3 linked regions of the Mus musculus genome follow. The protein of the gene in region 3 purifies or fractionates together with the protein of the main gene of each other region. This does not show direct contact. Links are inferred from orthologs where the notes say so. Each region holds a gene or a part of one and is shown on either strand. Other genes may lie near its edges.

Region 1 (3,753 bases), about 14 Mb from region 3:
TTTTGCAGTCATTTGAAAAGCGGCAGATGAGCGCTGTGCTATCCCACTTTTATGTCAACTTAACACAGAGTCAGCAGAGAGGAAGGAAACTCAGTTGGAAAAATGCTCCCACAGAAGCATGCTGTAGGCGAGCCTGAAGAGCATCCTAACTAGTGATTACAGTGAGGAGGCCCCACCCACTGTGGGGAGTCACCCTGGGCTGGTGGTCTTACTAGAGTAAGAAAGCACGCTGAAGTTGGGCAGTGGTGGCTCATGACATTAATCCCAGTACGTAGGGGTGTAGACGCAAGCAGATTTCTGAATTTGAGGCCAACCTGGCTTAAAAATAGTTCCAGAACAGCCAGGAATACAAGGAGAAACAAACACAATAAAAAAGGAAGAGAGAGCGCACTGAGCAAGAAAGCACTCCTCCATGGCCTCTACATCAGCCTCTGCCTGCAGGTTGCTGCCGACTTCCTCCAGTGAGGAAAAGTGATACAGAAGTGTAAGTCAGATAAACCCTTTCCTCCACAGTTTGCTTTTGGTCAGTGTTTCAGCACAGCAGTAGCAGTCCTAAGACAAACACCAAACCACCAGAGCAAGAAACCCAGACTGCCTCAGCTCCAGCAAGAGGGCTTGCCAATGTTCCTAAATGTGACCGGAACTGTAATCTTGTCTTAATTTACTTTTAGTATCTAATGGTTTAGAAGAAATTCAGAGGTTTGCACCTAGTGTCCTGTGGCTATACAGGTATGTGCTAAATAACCTGATTAATGCCAGATCATATATTCAGTAACTGTCTAATGCTTATAATGTAACCAAAACCTTCCTTTGCCTAATGACAAAGTAGTTGTGGTAATGTTGCAGCAGAATGCGCCACTCACAAGAGTGTGAAAAAAAAAAAAGTATACTGCCTGATGGATAAAAAGTATTACCTATACAATTACAGGTAGTTCTTAATGCTTGATAATGATAATAAATAATGATGTCACTAGTTTATGGATGTATTATACTGTAGCGCTTCGCCTTGTTGCCTAGAGACAGGGTCTCATATTAAATAGGAAGTTAACAGTGTCAGCCAGGCAGCCTGGCCAGAGCTCTTGAGATCTGTCTGTAGCGCTGGGACGCTGGGGCTCCAGGCACGAGCAGCCATGACTGGCTTTTTATGTGGACGCTGAGGATTGGAACTCAGATCCTTGTGCCGTTTGTACCGCGAGTGCTCTTACCCACCAACCTGTCCAACTCCCAGTGTTGCTAAGAATCCTGACTGCACAAAGAGGCACCAGGCAGTAACTGTTCCGCGTCACCTAAGTTTATCAAAGCACACTTGAGAATGCTTGCACCAAAAAGTGTACCTCTTGGAAATGACCCAAGCGTATATGGAGTGAGCAAAAACATAGGCCATCATGGAGACTGGAGACTTTGGGCCTAAAAGACCATACATCCTTGTATATTCTATTAGAATTATTAGAATAAAGTTAATAGTGGGACACAATCATTCAGAGCAACTTCTGTGTCTTCGTTTCAAATGTTTCCTAGCATCACTTCTCCCCTCTCCACTTGTTTGTTTGGAGACAGGGTTTCTCTGGATAGCCCTGGCTGTCCTGGAACTCACTCTGTAAACCAGGCTGGCCTCGAACTCAGAAATCCGCCTGCCTCTGCCTCCCAAGTGCTGGGATTAAAGGTGTGCGCCATCTCTCCACTTTTAAGAATGTTTGTTTGTTTTTCTTTGCTTGTAACCGTTAAGCCCTGTAAGGGTAAATGGCTGCTCCTTTCTTTACGGTGTACAACCCTAGTACCTAACAGAGCCCACACAGGTAAGATGCCTCGCATTGAAATGGGTACTAAACTGTGTACACGGTGAGAATCTCGAGTCTGAACGTCTGAGGTCCACCAAAATTCGAACACTTTTCGGGGCTCATATAATGCCACAAGTGAGAAATTCCGCTCTGGGCTTCATGCGAACAGTCAAAACGCAGGCGAATTAAAACAACTGTATAAAATTGCCTTCGGGCTATGTGTAAGGACTTAAGACCCATCCCCAAGTCACTGCAGGATCTGGGATGGGACACTGCAGAACCTATCTATGCATTTGATCAGTACGTGGGCTTCACCCGGGAGTAAAGTGTAACTCTTAAGGCGCCTGACAACGTGGGCCCTCTGGGAAAATGGGGCGTGGTCCAGAGCCCACGGGCTTTGGCAGCTCGGAACCAGGGACACTAGAGTCGCAAAAAGTGGTGTCTTAACCTTTCCTAGACCCTTACCATTTGATGACATTGTGAACCAACGGCAAAAAGGAGTAATTCTCCTCCTTCGCGCCAGCGGGGGACTGAGGCCGCGGAGCCGCCGGCGGCGGGAGCGCAGCGACCGGCAGAGGCTGAGGCGGTGGTGGCGGCTTGGACTCCGGCAGCAGCTCGGGCGGTGGCTGTAGCGTATCTTCGGCCTGTCTCCCACCCGCCACCCCAGAGGAAGCCATAGCACCAGGAGTCCAGCAGCTGCCGAGGGGCGCTGGGTGCTTGCGTCACAACTGCGCGCCCGGGGAGGCCGGGCGGGAAAAAACTCTGAGTCTGCGCCCTGGGCGTAGGCGGGCGGGCGTTGCTAGGCGACGGGTGTCGGGAAAGCTAAATTGAGTAGTCAGGATTAGGGAATCTACTCCAGTCATCTTTCTAGTTCACATGACAGAGAGAGGTCAAAACACCAACGAGGACCCCCGGGACTGGCAGGAAGAACGGATGACGCTGGTGAGCACCGTGTGAAACTGAGGCTCTGCGGCAGCGAGCATCCAGATGACAAGGACTTACACGTCTTTGTGTCATGCTAGCCTCCAGGAGGGCCCCAGACTGGCGACAGCAAAACAGGCCATACAAACTAGTTCCACACGGCTGCCAAGGGGAAAACTAATCGTTCTTCAAGCATTTGGTATGCATCTAGCAGGTGCCAGACTACATACGTATATAAGACTAAGATCTTGGACCAAATAGGAGAACTTTACGATAGGCTTGTATTTATTCATTTCAAGCAAATGGGCTCCATTAAAAATTTTCTGGACAAGGGTAGCAGTAATTCTGATTCTGACTAACAAAAATCAGGGATTAGGGAAGCTGTCAACTGGGAGAGGACATCTGTCTTTGATGACAGGAACCATGTCAGTAAAGAGAGGCCAGGAGCCCACATCTCAGAAACAAAAAGAAGCAGGAACGTGGAACTTCACAATGGTGTTTTCAGGTTTTTTAGCTACAGGTCTCAGAATTGTTTTCTTCAGAGCTGCAGATAGTTCTCTAAACAGAGGCACTGTCAGGAAAAGAATAATCTCAGTGTTGCTCAAAAGAAGACAGAAACAAAGTGAAACAAGGTGATTTATTTATTTCTTGAAAATGAGTGCACCAGAACTCAAGATAAGATAGCAGAAACACTCAACAAAATGGCCACTTTCTTCCATCTCAGGCTTAGGTGCATTTCATCCCATTAGTGGGAACACAACTTCTCAATATGACTCAATGGGCTAATCACCCAAAGGGAAAGGTGGGTGGGGGGAGTGGAGTTAGGGAATACAGGCCCCTGTGGAACTAAGTGTCTGATTAGAAGAACATTTCTCACTGCAGGAAACTGTAGGATTTCCTTCTAACCCAGGACCTCTCCACCTTAGGGGAAGGGCCATGATTCCTGAGGAAGAAGGGAGAAGAGAATGGTCTAAGATGGAACCAGGTGTGCCAGAAAAGACTTGAAGACACCTCTGGAGACATCTGGGAGAATGCATGGTAAAACGGCAGTGTT
Region 2 (3,653 bases), on a different chromosome or scaffold from region 3:
AATTTTTTCTTAAACTCTGAGACTGTTTTATATAATTGAAAACATGTCAGACCTGGTGGCTCTTGCCAGAATCCCAGCACTCAGGAGGACATGGCAAGAGTCACCACAAGTGCAAATCCAGCCTGTGTACCTGTCAAGTTCTAGGCCAACCAGAACTACAGAATGAGTAGTAGAAGACGGAGACCAGCAGCAGATCTGGGAATTCAAGGCTGCTGCGGTCTACGTAGTGAGTTCCAGGACAATCAGGCTGTATCATGAGACCCTGTCTCAAGAGAGAGAAAAGGGGGGACATTGGCACTGTAAGTTTCTAATGCTCCACAATAAAGACCTATCGATTAAGGGCCTCAGCTATCTGTGATGAGGCCTGTGTGTGGCTTTGCTTGTATATACATGCAGTTTCTTCTGTGGCTTCCTGTGTTTAATTTTTGAGGAAAAGTATTTTTTAAGTAGATATATGTTATATTAACATATTTGTCTATTTAAAGGAAAACTACTACTGTCTATTGAAAAAAATTTTTTTTGTTTCCACAGAAACCTGCTAATATTTTAGTTATGGGTGAAGGTCCTGAGCGAGGAAGAGTAAAAATTGGTATGTTATATCTATGATAAGTCACAGTTCAGTATAGTTTTGAAATTGCTGTAGGCAGCTATATTACTGTTTTCTGTATCAGTATGTGTGTATATCTGTAGTTCCGAATGTCAAAACATTCTAAAAGTACATAAAAGGGAACACCTTCCCCCTGTCTCAGACAGTCCTTAGAGAACAAACTGCTGTAGTTAGAAAATAAGCACACAGGCAGGCCTCCTCCAACCATCTGCCTTGGTTAAACAGCTCTTGGAGCTGGTGGCTTCTTTCCTCCTCTGAGGCCAGCCTTGTCTCCTCTTAGAAGCACGTGGCCGATTTGATTCTCCCATCAGTCTCTGTAGCCAGGTCAATGAGAAGAAGCACTGCTCTCATTTGTCCAGCTGAGGAGCTGAGCAAGGCCTGAGTCCTTAGTCGCAGTGTGTACAGCTCTCCGTATGCAGGGCTGTCCCTGGCCTTGCCTAAGGGCAACGGCCTTCATGGCAGTGCACCTTGATGCTCTGTGCTGTCCTCTGTGTCAGACTTCTCTAAGGTCACAGTGTGACAGGACAGCAAAATTTACCCTAACTGCTGCTGCTTCCATTGTCGTTTTCCTAAGCAGTGTTTGTTACTTATATTTAGTTTGTTTGGTATAGGGGTAGAAGACATGTAATTAAGTTATAAATTAGTGTAATTAAGATACAGAGTCATAAGAGCACAGAACACAATTAACAGTAGTTTCTCTTGCAATGTTTGACATAAAGTAGAGCACTGGTTCCCAGCCTTCCTGTTGCTGAGACTCTTTTTAACACAGTTCCTCATGTTGTGGGGCCCTCCAACCATGAAATTATTTTTGATACTATTGTGAATTGTAGTGTAAATATTTGTGTTTTCCAATTGTCTTAGGTTCTGTGAAAGGGTTTTTCAACCTCAAAAGGGGTTGCAACCCACAGGTTGAGTGAGAACTGCTGAAGTAGAAGCTCCTGTAGCTATATGCCTGCTCACCAGCCAGTAAAACTTGGCTCTTCTCCACCTCTCCCCCACCCTCCTTTATGAGTCCCCCCAAAGCTCATGGTCCACTTTTAAATAAGCTAAGTGTTTTTTTATGATACAAACTTTGCAGATTCTTAGTTGTGAGAACATGTGATCCATGTTGTAATCTGAACTACAGTCTGCCATTGATGTCTGACCCTGATAATCCTGGGGCCACCAAATGCTTGTGGCCTTACGTGAGCCTCTGAAGGCATCTCTTCCATCTGATGTCACACTGTCAGATTCAAATGTTAGTCCTGGGAATACAGATTGGCCTAGGCCGAGTCACAGAACAGTTTTTTGTATGTCCTTTACCATCTGGTTTAGAAAAATTCTGCATAGCACATTTAAGTTCTCCCTTAGAATTGCACTTTTGTGTAGTAGTACGTGATGGTGGAGTGCTGGGTGGCACCACTTCATCAGCTATTCACATTTCAAAGGAAATATTTGATAATCTGATTTAAGGTTTTTATTTTTTTGCCAAAATTTGTGGGTTTTTTCCTCCATAATTAAGTCAGTTAAAGGTAAATCTACTTCATTAAAAATATGAAGAATATATACTGGAGGTTACAATATGGCTTAGAGGTTAAGAGCACTGGCTGCTCTTCTAGAGGTCCTGAGTTCAATTCCCAGCAACCATGTGGTGGCTCACAACCATCTGTAATGGAACCTTGTGCCCTTTTCTGTGCAGGCATACATGCAGGCAAAACATTGTGTATATAATAAATTAACATAATGTTAGAATTAAATTTTCCAGATGGTCTTGAATCTTGACATCTCCCAGTGGGTGGTAAACGTGGGTCATCCTGTATTTGTGTGCAGTGACTGCGTGTGAAGCCGTACAGAGATGAAGCCTCTAAGACTATGGATTAGCAGTACAAAGTTCGTAACCAAGTAGTTTGATGGCGTGGTACTGGTGCCAAGAACTCTCCAGTGCCATCTTGGAGACCTAGTTTTGTGGGTTTTGTTGTTGTTGTTGCTGTTTTTGGACTTCAGTCTCATGTGAAGAAGCACAGAAGTGAAATAAATCGCCTTTCAACTTAAAAAGTACAACGATTCTTTTAAGTTAGTGAAACTCCGGCCAAGTAAGTGAGGGAATAGTATTCAAGTTCTCTGTAGTCACCCTGATGACCACTGTGAGCAGGCCTGCTGATGCACAGCGGAGAGTACTGAGTACTGAGAGGTGAAGCACAGCTCAGTGTCAGGCTGTGCCTCTGAACCAGGTCTGCCCTGCCCGGGGAGAGCTGAGGAGCTGATCTCCGGTGCTTCTACATTTCAGTCCGTCAAAGTGCGGAACTTTATCCTCCTACCCCGGCCGGCCGGCTCTGCACACGTTCTTGATGACAACACTGGTAAATGAGACTGCATATGCAAAGTAAACTGTTGACTGATGTGGTTTTGTTGTTGTTTTCACAGCTGACATGGGCTTTGCCCGATTATTTAATTCACCTTTGAAGCCTTTAGCAGATTTGGATCCAGTGGTTGTAACATTCTGGTACCGAGCTCCAGAATTACTCCTCGGAGCGCGACATTATACCAAAGCAATTGGTGAGTAGGACTAGTTAAAATTACAGGGCTTTAAAATATTTTTCTGTGAAAGAGACATTTTTGTACATGTTTAAATCAAGAATTAGAAAATTATAAAAACAAAACCCCAGAATTCACTATCCATATATACACATTAGTACCTGATAACATGAAATTGCACGTCTCTTTACAAAAGAGGTTCAGAATGTTTTCAGTTAAAAAAAATTAGTTTTATATGAAAAGAGAAAACTAAAAATTTTCAGTTCTACGACTTTATACAAACGTTCTTTCTGTCACCAAAGAAATGCTAACGTCTAGGCAATATCTCAGAAACTAAAGAGAGAAAACATGTAAACTTGAGCAGTTAAGACTTATTCAAAGTTAGGAGCAAGGCACTCCTGCTTCCTCACGTCCCGTTGTCAGCTGTGTTAGTGACGTCACAGTGCGGGCCGCTCTTTCTCAGGTCCTCTGGTGGCTGCCATTCAGGTTGTCGGTAGCTCACTCACTCACATGGTGCAGCAAATGAAGCTCT
Region 3 (3,414 bases):
AAAGTTAAAACTCAGTGGAGTATACTTGCATAGAAACATCACACGGAGCCCCATAATTGTTCCCAGTTACTTCCAAATGAAAAGTAAAACCAGAAGCTGAGTGTGGTGACACCTGCCTAGAACTCCAACACTGCAGCTAAGGTAGCAGGATTTGGATTGAGGCCAGATTGGTCTATATAGTTTCATGCCAGCCAGGGCTACAAATGCCAAAAATAAGTAAAACTTTTAACAAGTGGTAAGAATATTAGCTGTTATCTCTTTCAATCCTTAAAACAATTCTACGGAGATTTTGCTGTTTTTATTTCTGTAGTGTATTCACTGTAACTCTCAAGAGTCCATTCTTTCCTTCAACCATGAATTCTAAGCTAGCACCCTTACCTACTGCCCCTCCATTAGTATCTCAGTGATGTTTCAGGATTTAAACCATGTAGGCCATCAGCCAAATCTACTCCGTGATCTGATTTTCAACTCCCAAGAGTGTAGAAATTTACATTTAGGTGGCCCAAAAACTCAAAATATCTCACAAAATTCCTGGATAATTGAGTTTCAATTTTCAGCGTCCATATTTTATTCCAATTGTTCATATATGAGAGTTGGATTAGAGCAGTGCTTTCATTTACCTATTGTCTATGACTGCTGTCAAGCCATAGATGAGTATTATGAAAGAGAAATTGTATACCTTTCAATGCCTATTAAATGGCTGTACAGTAAGTTTACCACCAGATGAAGATGACAAGGAACCAAAAAAGGGAGAAGGGGGCAAAACAAGAAAAATCTTTGCCGATTTCTTATCCCACATAGACTCTTGCCCAACCAAACCATAAATGTGAAGTTTTAATTCTTATGAGTCTTAGTTAGGAACATTACCTACTAAGAAGGGTTTTTAGGTAGAATTACAAGCACCATCTTAAGATATGGAAGTCTTAACCAACAAACCCTGCCTCCTGAGTATGTTTAAAGAGAAGTCATTCTTCCAATCAACAAATGTATCCTCTTGAGTCTAGTGTCATGAGGTATTTACTAGGGTGGATTTCAAGATTAGAAAACTGGAGTAGCTCTAGTTATGATTTCCAGTATGACAGACTAGAGGATAGAGAATGAAGTTCAGTACTTTGGCTATGAAACTGAATACCTACTTTCTAACTTGATTCTGCCACTTATTAGTTGGTTAAGTCAACTTCTCTGAACCTCTACTTCCTCATCTGTAATGACTAAAGACGGATTGAGTTGTGGGTAGCTTTGTGATTAGAACTGTGCTACCAACATATACATGTGTTTGAAAAGGATATAAACTGGACAAGGTGTTCTGATTAGATTACTTTGGAAGCAAGACTCTTCTGAGGGTGGTATGATGGCTAAGAGACTAGGATAGTCTTAGCAAACACAAACCAGAAAAGAAGCTATGTTGAGACTGAATAGCTACTCAATAGAGTTATCTTTTGGGGGAAGCCTGTATCCATCTGTGAAGGTGAAGTATGTACATTTCTCATAGAATTGGATCATAACCACATCATTACCTGACTGGGGCAAAAAAAGAGTCCCTAACAAATATTCTATGGAGAATAAGGAGGAGAAAAGCTGTGATACTGAGTTTGCTGGAACAGTAATCAGAAAAATAAACTTTCTATATTATTTTGGAATAAATCTAAACATTTTATAATTTCACATGTACACTTGATGCCCTTTATTAGTCTCGAAGCAAATAACTTTTTTTCCAAGAATGACAATTCGTTATTACTTCAAGTTTTTATTCCAACTCCAAAAAATAGGACTATCTCAAACAATAGCAAACATTCAGCTTTTTTATGGCAATTACTCAAATATACTTGCTGGCCTATGTTTAGTGTTAAATTACCACCTACAGCATTTCAATTGAAAAAAAGTCTCTTAGTATCTTTAGTTATACCTCTTAAGACTGTCTGAGAGGAAATAAACTAATATATGATGCTACTTACTAAAAGGAAAAAAAGGAATATTCTTCATGGCCTTTCATTCATTTCATCAATTAGCACACATAAGGCAGCATCTTTTTCTATAATCTGGTCCCTTCTGTGACCTGAACTTTCTCTTTGTTGTTCATTCTGTCCAGGACAATTGCTGTTATCATCAGTATCCATCGGCTCAGCTTTAACTCTCATCCCTGCTTCTGAATGGGGCAAATCATCGGGCAAAGAAGCCAAGCAATTCTGAATCATTTCAATGACTCGTTCCAGATGTTTCTGAAACCTCTCAGCTGTTTCAAGGCGCTGGCGTTTCTGGACCTCCATCATGACTCTCAAAGTCTCTCTTGCTTGGTGGGGTCGATATTCATTTATAAGATGATGTACATGTACAAAAAGTAGCTTAAGATCTTCTAGCTTTTCTTCTCGTTTTATACTCCCAGGACTTCTTATTAAGATGTCTAAAAGGTCTAAGAAATTAATCAGTATAGACATATTGAGTTTTCTCAGCTCTTTCTTATGATCAAATTGCATAGGATGAAGCCGTTCAATGCCCTGACTTTCTAAAGGGCGAATGATAAGATCATCACATTGGAACTGGTTGCCAAACATCATGTAGCTGTCTTTAATTGGAGGAGGAGGCTTGGGAGCCAAGCCTTCCTGAATATTTTCATCTGTATATTCCTTGATGTACTGCATTGGAGGCGGTGGAAGTGCACTCACTTGCTGTGGTTCACCCATTGTAGACAATCAAGAACCTAAAGAAACAGAGCACGATTCAGAACAGAATCATGAACACCACCTTCCTCCTGCTGCCCCCAATTAGTGACTTCAGAATATGTTCTTCCTTTTTCTGACAGTACACAGTCCAAGACAAGATGATCTTAGATTTTAAAATTAACATTTACAGCAGTGAATAGCTATCAATTATGTTCTAATTAAATATTATGTTAACATCCATGTATTTTCCTTTATTTCCTCAGGGTTTTCAACAGTAGTTAATAAAACAAAAGCTACATCTTTTTCCTCTATAGAGAATGTCTGAGGGAAATGGAAGCTGGGACAGCCCACATTAGCTCTCTATCTACTGGGGCTTGCGGGAAAAATCTTCAGATATAGGCCACATTTCAGTGGAAGACAGGCACCCACAATACCAGTAATGACAAAAACAAAACAATCCTTCCAGAGCACGGAAGACTTGTCAATTTCTCAAAAACAGACCGGGCAAAGTATACTGGGGGGGGGGGGGGGAGAAGAGCAGGGCAGGGTGTGAGGGAGGGAGAGGGTCTTGTGACATTTGTTACTGTGTCATGAAACTTCACTGATGAGAGAAAAAAGTACCAACCTAAGACCAGAGCAGCCTGATCAACACAACTACGATGTTCAGAAGTTCACTGTGGGTTCAGACCATATTATCTTCAAGTTTCCTGATAGGAAATACACCTTGAAAATTGAGAACGTGTTGACCACCCAA

The links.
Region 1: the proteins of Med7 (region 3) and Med9 purify together in Homo sapiens (affinity purification with mass spectrometry; 5 studies listed by BioGRID and IntAct, counting the BioPlex papers as one, with this or other methods). This does not show direct contact. The link is inferred for Mus musculus from reciprocal best matches to the Homo sapiens genes MED7 and MED9.
Region 2: the proteins of Med7 (region 3) and Cdk8 purify together in Homo sapiens (affinity purification with mass spectrometry; 7 studies listed by BioGRID and IntAct, counting the BioPlex papers as one, with this or other methods). This does not show direct contact. The link is inferred for Mus musculus from reciprocal best matches to the Homo sapiens genes MED7 and CDK8.

Annotation. Positions count from the first base shown.
Region 1 is NC_000077.6:59,946,969-59,950,721, reverse strand, and holds the start of Med9 (mediator of RNA polymerase II transcription subunit 9), read right to left. Parts: upstream 2,509-3,753; 5' UTR 2,456-2,508; coding exon 2,244-2,455; intron 1-2,243.
Region 2 is NC_000071.6:146,283,098-146,286,750, forward strand, and holds part of Cdk8 (cyclin-dependent kinase 8), read left to right. Parts: intron 1-531; coding exon 532-589; intron 590-3,010; coding exon 3,011-3,142; intron 3,143-3,653.
Region 3 is NC_000077.6:46,439,847-46,443,260, reverse strand, and holds the end of Med7 (mediator of RNA polymerase II transcription subunit 7), read right to left. Parts: 5' UTR 3,286-3,414; intron 2,699-3,285; 5' UTR 2,682-2,698; coding exon 1,980-2,681; 3' UTR 540-1,979; downstream 1-539. UniProt on the Homo sapiens protein: Component of the Mediator complex, a coactivator involved in the regulated transcription of nearly all RNA polymerase II-dependent genes.